2 linked regions of the Daphnia pulex genome follow. The protein of the gene in region 1 interacts with the protein of each later gene in a biochemical or structural test. Links are inferred from orthologs where the notes say so. Each region holds a gene or a part of one and is shown in the gene's direction. Other genes may lie near its edges.

What was found. The genes of interacting proteins can lie anywhere in the genome.
Region 2: the proteins of hsp90 co-chaperone Cdc37-like (region 1) and heat shock protein 83 form a complex in vitro, tested with the Caenorhabditis elegans proteins (3 studies listed by BioGRID). The link is inferred for Daphnia pulex from reciprocal best matches to the Caenorhabditis elegans genes cdc-37 and hsp-90.

The regions. Positions count from the first base shown.
Region 1 is NC_060026.1:6,136,692-6,140,502, forward strand, and holds hsp90 co-chaperone Cdc37-like, read left to right. Parts: upstream 1-1,591; 5' UTR 1,592-1,717; coding exon 1,718-1,750; intron 1,751-1,921; coding exon 1,922-2,055; intron 2,056-2,123; coding exon 2,124-2,288; intron 2,289-2,373; coding exon 2,374-2,754; intron 2,755-2,827; coding exon 2,828-3,017; intron 3,018-3,081; coding exon 3,082-3,252; 3' UTR 3,253-3,311; downstream 3,312-3,811. Other genes in the region: U1 small nuclear ribonucleoprotein 70 kDa-like, read right to left, coding at 3,419-3,522, 3,585-3,655, 3,712-3,811.
Region 2 is NC_060026.1:16,238,417-16,242,851, forward strand, and holds the start of heat shock protein 83, read left to right. Parts: upstream 1-1,614; 5' UTR 1,615-2,127; intron 2,128-2,266; coding exon 2,267-2,529; intron 2,530-2,593; coding exon 2,594-2,885; intron 2,886-2,953; coding exon 2,954-3,583; intron 3,584-3,650; coding exon 3,651-4,435. UniProt on the Caenorhabditis elegans protein: Molecular chaperone that promotes the maturation, structural maintenance and proper regulation of specific target proteins involved for instance in cell cycle control and signal transduction. Undergoes a functional cycle that is linked to its ATPase activity.

The DNA.
Region 1 (3,811 bases):
ATACGACGCGTCATGGACGTTGCCGTGCGTCAGGGTTGACACCTTAGTGATTTTGTACCAAAACGCAACAGACGCTTCGGTCCCAACCCTACTCACCCGATGAAGGACTAAAAAACATCTAGACCTCTCAGAGAAAAGATTCCCTATTTCGAGAGAGTCGATTTTAAAGAACAGATAAAACGTTATTTTTCTGAACAATTCAAAAAATTAGCTCTGTCATTCCAGGAACATTTAGCCAACCTGAAAACCCAGAACCCGTTACTGGATACAATGAATGGAAAGATTTAATCATAGAACCATTTAAGGACCCATCTGAGAATCAATTTTTTAAGAACGAACTGTCTGAAATTGAACAAAAAGCTAACGAACGAGTAAGAGAATTTCGCCCACGTTTAGAAACATGATTTGTTAAAGCCTACAACGGAATGCTTTTTTCCATAGTACAAATGAAGATATGACTCTCAAAAGAAACGACATTCGAAGGAAAAAAAGAATGCATTTGAAGGAGGACTCAAAAGGGAGTTACTCCCAGGTGAAAACAGAGTACTGCGCGATGCTGACTACGCAACATGTGAAGTCACAGCAACAGATATAGAAAGAAGTTTAGCACGCAAAAAATCAACTTCTCACAAAAACCGTCATTCACAAATAAGCGCTATTAGTTTACACAAAAAATTACTTTTAGTATTATTCGAATTACTTTAATTGTCTTTTAATGATTTATTTTAAGTTTATGGTAACCGCCATAAACTCCGTGTTAAACACGGCTCGAAGCCTCGAACATTTTGTCGCGCTGTTAAATTAATTTTAAAATAATAAATGTTAACGAAAATGTAAAAAATTTGTAACACATTTTTATCAACAGTGTTGTGGCCGATATTTTTTTTTTACCGCGAGCCCGGCCCGATTAACAGAAACAAACATCATGTCAAGGTCGTGATCTTTTTTGCGATCGCCGCTAGATGGCAAGGGGAAATGATTACCAACGTTTTCAAGAATCAAGACAAAGCACAAAGCAATTTGCAAAAATACATTTAATCACTGAAACTTTATAAACTTTAATGTATAACAATAATTTTTTATATAAAAATAAAAACAATAATTTATTGGTGGTGCTATTTAAAAAAAGGGTTTTTTTATTAATTAAAGATAGCGACGATCGCAAATCTGATCGAGCGATTTCTGGCCTGCAATTCCGATCCCGGTCGCGTTTTTCAGTTTGGATCGCGATCGCTAAAAATTTACCGTGGTCGTGATCGCACGATCGAACGATTGCAATCGTCACGACATTTTTTATTAATAAAATAAGTATCAGTTTATAATGAATAAATTTTTTGAATTAAGACCCCTATTTCCCGTATATAAATGTTTAATGGTTCATTTCTTTAAGATCCCACGCTACGATTTTGTCCGGGTTTTATTATGTAAATAGTGTGTAATGTGTCAATAATGTTCATTTTTCCTAAAGGCTAAAACTAAAACCCCCCTTTTTTTAGCTAAAATGGCCTTAGTAGAGACGAAGTTGCTTTAGTCCATTCAGGAACAAGCTCCACCCATCGCCAGAGGGGTGTACCTCTTTGGAGTTATCACTTAGGCAAAGGTTCAGTTTTCTGCCACCACTCTGTCGAGTCTACAATCGTAGATTCGTAGTGTTAGCGTTTAGATAATCTGTCACTTTCCACTTTTCCATTAAGTTCTTAACTTTATCGCGAATAAAATGGTAGACTACAGCAAATGGAAAAATATCGAGGTAAATTGTTGCTTCAAAAATGTTGTGTTGTTATTTTACCATATTTTTGCGGGTTCTCTAACCTTCTATTTATTGTCAGTATAGTATTTAATCGTAATTAAGTATCGTAATTAAGTATTCGTTATTTATATGTTTCATTTAAACACTCACGTACTTCATAATACTTTACAGATATCTGACGATGAGGATGATACACATCCTAACGTTGACACGCCTTCTCTGTTCAAATGGCGACACGAAGCTAGATTAGAAAAAATGAAGGAAATGGAACAAGAAAAAGCTCTGTTTCTCAAAGCAAAAAATGAGTAATGCTAAATAACTAGCTTTAATGTTTTTGTTAAAGTTTACATTAAATCAAACTTTTCTAACAAAGGAACACTGCCAAACTAAAAGAAGTTAAAAGTAAGTATGAACAGGTGATGAAAGAAGGTATTGATGTGACAGATTTGAAAAAGCAATTGAGTGAATTAGAATCGAAAAAAATTGAACTCGAAGATCATGAAGAACAAATGAAAAAAAAGGAAAAGTTGATGCCATGGTATTTAAAAGATTCACTTCAATATATCCTAATGTGATGTCTAATTTCAAAGTTTAATTGTGGTTTTTTTGCATATTTTTTTTAGGAATGTAGATACAATTAGTCAACCTGGATTTTCAAAAACTGTGGTCAATGTTGACCAACCCAAAAAAGTGAAAGAGCTCACTGAAGAGGAGAAAGAAATCAAAACACGTGAATTTTTCAAGAAACATGAGAAAAATCTTAAGGCATATGGAATGCTACAAAAGTATGATGATAGTAAGCGTTTCCTTCAAGAAAATCCAGAGCTGGTTTGTGAAGAAACAGCAAACTATCTCGTGATTTGGTGTATTAATTTAGAAATGGAAGAGAAAACAAGTTTAATGGAACATGTTGCCCATCAGTGCATTTGCATGCAATTCATTCTTGAATTATCCAGGCACCTTAACAGAGATCCAAGATCATGTGTGTCTTCATTCTTTTCAAGGTTTATCTTTATATTAAGTTGTCCTTTATGTAGCTATAACTAAATGAATTGTTTACTATTTTATCTCTTTTAGAATTCAAATCGCAGATGTTGAGTATCGTAAAGGATTTGAAGACGAACTTGTAGCTTTCAAAGACCGTATACAACGGCGGGCGAAAGAGAAAATAGAAGCTGCAATTGCCGAAGCTGAGGAGGAAGAAAAGAAAAAACGACTTGGTCCTGGAGGGTTGGATCCCGTTGAAGTATTTGAAAGTTTACCGGAGGTATAATTGAGCAAGACACATAAATTTCCTTCCACATATATGAATCATGTGTTTTGTTGTGTAGGTTCTTAAGGATTGTTTTGAAAAACAAAACATTGAGCTTCTTCAACAAGCAATTTCAACACTACCTGAAGAAGAAGCACGGTTTCATATGAAAAGATGTGTTGACTCCGGATTGTGGGTACCCGACGGAAATGTTGCTGGAAATATTGCAGAAAATGTTGCAGAAAATTAAAATACTAGTTTGGATTATTATATTCATTAATAATGAATTAATACACTGGGGCTTTTGAATAACGTGTATTTGACGTTTTTACCTCCAGTTTCATACTCACCTCACTTTAAAATTGTAAAGTTAAAAAGCCTTAAGAACAGACAAGTTACTGCTATAAAAACATACGCTAGTATTCTTCAGTCTGGAATTGCGACTCTTCCACTTCGTATTTAATGTTGTCAGGATCATATTGATTATAGCCATCATATTGTTGGGCCGTATAGTCATAATCTGCAAATTTCAATTCCACAAATTAGTAATAGATATTTTTCATTAACAGCTAATTCCAATACCATCAGGCGGTTCTTCCTTCACTCGCACTTGTTCACCATCCTCCCGAACATAGTCCCTACGCTCTCGTTCCCTGTGAAAAATTATTCATTAAATTCTGAAGTTGAATTCGATAATTTGATTGCTTACTTATCCTTGTAACGATCGCGACGTTCCCGGCGATCCTTGTTCTTGTCTTTAACTCGATCTTTTTCTTTGCGACGCTCATCGCCAGAAGCGACTTGACCAG
Region 2 (4,435 bases), about 10 Mb from region 1:
TCAACCAATTCGCCCACGGAGAAAGAAAGAAAAATTGCGCGGAATAACGATGGCGCAAATTTGATTCAATTTGAAAATCGTTTTCAACAAAAAATCATTGATTAATCAGTTTTGTTTTGAGTAGAATTTTTTCTACATACTTTGTTGAATTTTAAAAGAATTACTCTTACTTGCATGTAACAAAAAAAGCATTTTCTACATTTAACTACTTGAATTGTTATTGACAGTTTTGATTTGAAAATCTCATCTTATTACACAAGCAAAAGTAAGAATAGCTTTCAAAATTTTTTTCAGCCAGTAAAAACTGCTAATCTTTTAAGTTTCCAACTTCCAAACAACGATAAGGATTAAGGAAGCAAAATAATAAAATATACACCAGCAGACAGAAAATGTTTTCCTCTGAACAAAACTTGCAAACAATCTTGCAGGTTTTCTCATTTAATTTTTTCCGATATCTGTTAATTTAGAAATCGATTAATTGATCGTTTGCTAACATCATCAAAGCCTTTTATTTAAAACAATTAATTATATTGTGTTGAAACGTTCATAGATATTTCATGGTTCGTGCATTGTGCGCACTGGTAGTTCTGACACCTGTCACTACTCACCTGTGATAAAAATAATTAAACCAGATGGTTTGAGTTTGACTGCTGGAAGTCCATCTTGCACCACACAGCCTACCATCATCTTAAAATCGTCACACCCTTTGCGACTCATAATTACTACATAAAGTTCATTTACGATTAAAATGTTGGGAGTTGGTTAATGGCAATAAATAACAACAATTGGAGGTCAATTACGCAACGTTGATATGACACACCTTCATTCCTTGATCTCTACAAGGGAATTGGGTTCGGCAACCTAGGCCATTGACATAGAGGAAACCCAACAGAGGAACTCGGTGTGTGTAAACCTGTGTCTAATGCCGCACTGCAGCATTCGACGTTGGGGCCTAAATTCAAGGAAAATATCTGTTTCGATATAAATACGAACAAGTTTCCTGGAAGCCTGGAAGGAAAGAATGATAATTTCTTAGTCAAAATCTCGTTATGAGTCACACGCCATAGGTGAAATTCAGTAAAAACCTTAATGTGAATTCCACAAGATAAAATTGCTCTTGGAGAACTCAATGTCAAGCTTCTGTTTACTTCAAGGCTTTAAAGGGCATTCCTATCTGTCACCTGAATTAAATTGTTTTGCCTGAAGCTGAAGAATTAAAAAAAAAATCTTCTTTATTTTTTTTCTGTACAAAATTTATAACAACAAGAATTTTGTTGTACAGGTTTACAAACTTTATAACTCGTTGTAATCTTATCGACTGAGTGAACAAAAGATTTCTGAAGAAGAAAAACCACGTGGGGTTTACCAGACGTGAGGCTTTCTAGACGTTTCTCGAATCTCGACTCGCTATTACAAAGGCAAAAGGTGAACTATGATTTCACCGTTTCTTACAAGCAAGAATGCATTATTTACGAAAAAAGCAATAATGCAGAAAAAACTGAAACATTTCATTACATGATATTATTAGTCAAAATTAGTAAGCATGTGTCAACTGGTTGGTAATATGATAATCCCAGACCAACTCATACAAACAGATGCATTAGACAGCAGATGGGACTTGAATTGACGGTTAAAAACGGTTACGAACACCGAATCAACGATCCGTCAAAACACATGGTCGGTAGACTCGGTGTCGATTTTTTGGAAAACATTTTAAATAATTCAAAAAATATCAGTAGCCACTCAAAATTCAAATTCCACCAATACTTGAGAAATATACAGAATTTGTGTGAATTTAAAAATTAAAAATAAGGTAAATTGAATGAGTTTGTGTGTAATTGTTTGAAAGCGGCAACACCAAGACTTCCTTCGGTAAGGAACATTCTCGATTTTTCGAGAGAATTCGAACCCCCTCCTCCCCTATGGTTTGTTCTAGTAGCTTCCACTACTACAACGTTGGATTCCCCGGGTCCCTCTTTGATATAAGGCCTCCCTCGTGTTCGACTCTTCACAGTCTTCAACCGGCGATTGAGCGAAAAACATCGCATCTCCACACGGGAAAAACTCTCCACGAGACCATTCTTGCAAACAATCTTGTGTTCTTGTTTAATTATCTTCTAAAGCAAAGTAAGTTTAAAAAATAATTGCTCATTTACTCATTTTTTGATATGCCGCTAGTACAAAAATATTTTGAATTTGAATTATTGAGTCTAATGTACCACGATTGACAAACGTTTCTAACTTAAATATATTTGTCTGTGTTTAGATGCCTGAAGAAGTTCAAATGGAAGCCGAAGCCGAGACTTTCGCATTCCAGGCCGAGATTGCTCAGCTTATGAGCTTGATCATCAACACCTTCTACTCAAACAAAGAAATCTTCTTGCGTGAGTTGATCTCCAACTCCTCAGATGCCCTAGACAAGATCCGTTATGAATCCCTGACTGACCCTAGCAAGTTGGACAGCGGCAAGGATCTTGAAATCAAGATTGTCCCCAACAAGAATGACCGTACCCTCACTCTCAGTGATACGTAAGTTTAGAAGTCAAGTTTTTCTGATTAGAGCAATTATTTAACTGTACTGTGTCTTCTTTAGTGGTATCGGCATGACCAAGGCTGATTTGGTTAACAACTTGGGTACCATTGCCAAGTCTGGAACCAAAGCTTTCATGGAAGCCCTCTCTGCCGGAGCTGACATCTCCATGATTGGCCAGTTTGGTGTGGGTTTCTACTCTGCATACCTGGTTGCCGACAAGGTGACAGTTCACTCCAAGCACAATGATGATGAGCAGTACGTTTGGGAATCGTCAGCTGGTGGTTCTTTCACCATCAAGCCTGATCACGGAGAACCCATGGGTAGAGGAACCAAGATTGTCCTCCACTTGAAGGTATGTTTCTTTGTCTTCGCTGGCTTAATTTCCTGTATGCTAATATTTGTTTTTTCTTTAATTTGCAGGAAGATCAAATGGATTACCTGGAGGAGAAGAAAGTCAAGGAGGTTGTCAAGAAGCACTCGCAGTTCATTGGCTACCCAATCAAGCTTTTGGTCGAGAAGGAGCGCGACAAGGAAGTGAGCGACGATGAGGCTGAGGAGGAAGAAAAGAAGGACGAGAATGAGGAGAAACCAAAGGTCGAAGATGTTGGTGAGGATGAAGAAGCCGACAAGGAAACAGACAAGAAGAAGAAGAAGACCATCAAGGAGAAATACTCTGTCGATGAGGAGCTCAACAAAACCAAGCCCATCTGGACTCGCAATCCCGATGACATCAGCCAGGAAGAATATGGAGAGTTCTACAAGTCATTGACCAATGACTGGGAGGATCATCTTGCTGTCAAGCATTTCTCCATTGAAGGCCAGCTTGAGTTCCGCGCTCTCCTCTTCGTCCCACGTCGTGCACCTTTCGATCTGTTTGAGAACCGCAAACAGAAGAACCACATCAAGTTGTACGTCCGCCGTGTCTTCATCATGGACAACTGCGAGGAGCTCATCCCCGAGTACCTCAACTTCATGAAGGGAGTCGTCGACTCTGAGGATCTTCCCCTCAACATTTCTCGTGAAATGCTCCAACAAAACAAGATCTTGAAGGTAATTTATTCTATTTCTTTTGTCAACATCGTTAACTGAAACTAATTATTACTTTTCTCTACTTCAGGTCATTCGCAAGAACTTGGTCAAGAAATGCATGGAACTTTTCGAGGAGTTGGCCGAGGACAAGGAGAACTTCAAGAAATTCTACGAACAATTCAGCAAGAACTTGAAGTTGGGAGTTCATGAAGATTCTACCAACCGTAAGAAGATCGCTGACCTCATCCGTTACCACACTTCCGCCTCTGGAGAGGACCAGGTTTCCTTCAAGGAATACGTTTCCCGCATGAAGGAGAACCAGAAGCACATTTACTACATCACTGGCGAGAACAGAGATCAAGTCAGCAACTCTTCCTTCGTCGAGCTTGTCAAGAAGCGCGGATTGGAGGTCATCTTCATGACTGAGCCCATTGATGAATACGTCGTCCAGCAGCTCAAGGAATACGATGGCAAGCAGCTCGTCTCCGTCACCAAGGAGGGTCTGGAACTCCCCGAAGATGATGAAGAAACCAAGAAACGCGAGAGCGACAAGGCCAAATTCGAAGGTCTCTGCAAAATCATGAAGGACATCTTGGACAAGAAGGTCGAGAAGGTCGTCATTTCCAACCGTTTGGTCGAGTCTCCCTGCTGTATCGTCACCTCCCAGTACGGCTGGACAGCCAACATGGAGCGTATCATGAAGGCCCAGGCTTTGAGGGATACCTCCACCATGGGTTATATGGCCGCCAAGAAGCACCTGGAAATAAACCCCGATCACCCCATCATCGAAGCCCTTCGCGTCAAAGCAGAGGCTGACAAGAACGACAAAGCCGTCAAGGATTTGGTCATGTTGCTGTTTGAAACCTCTCTGCT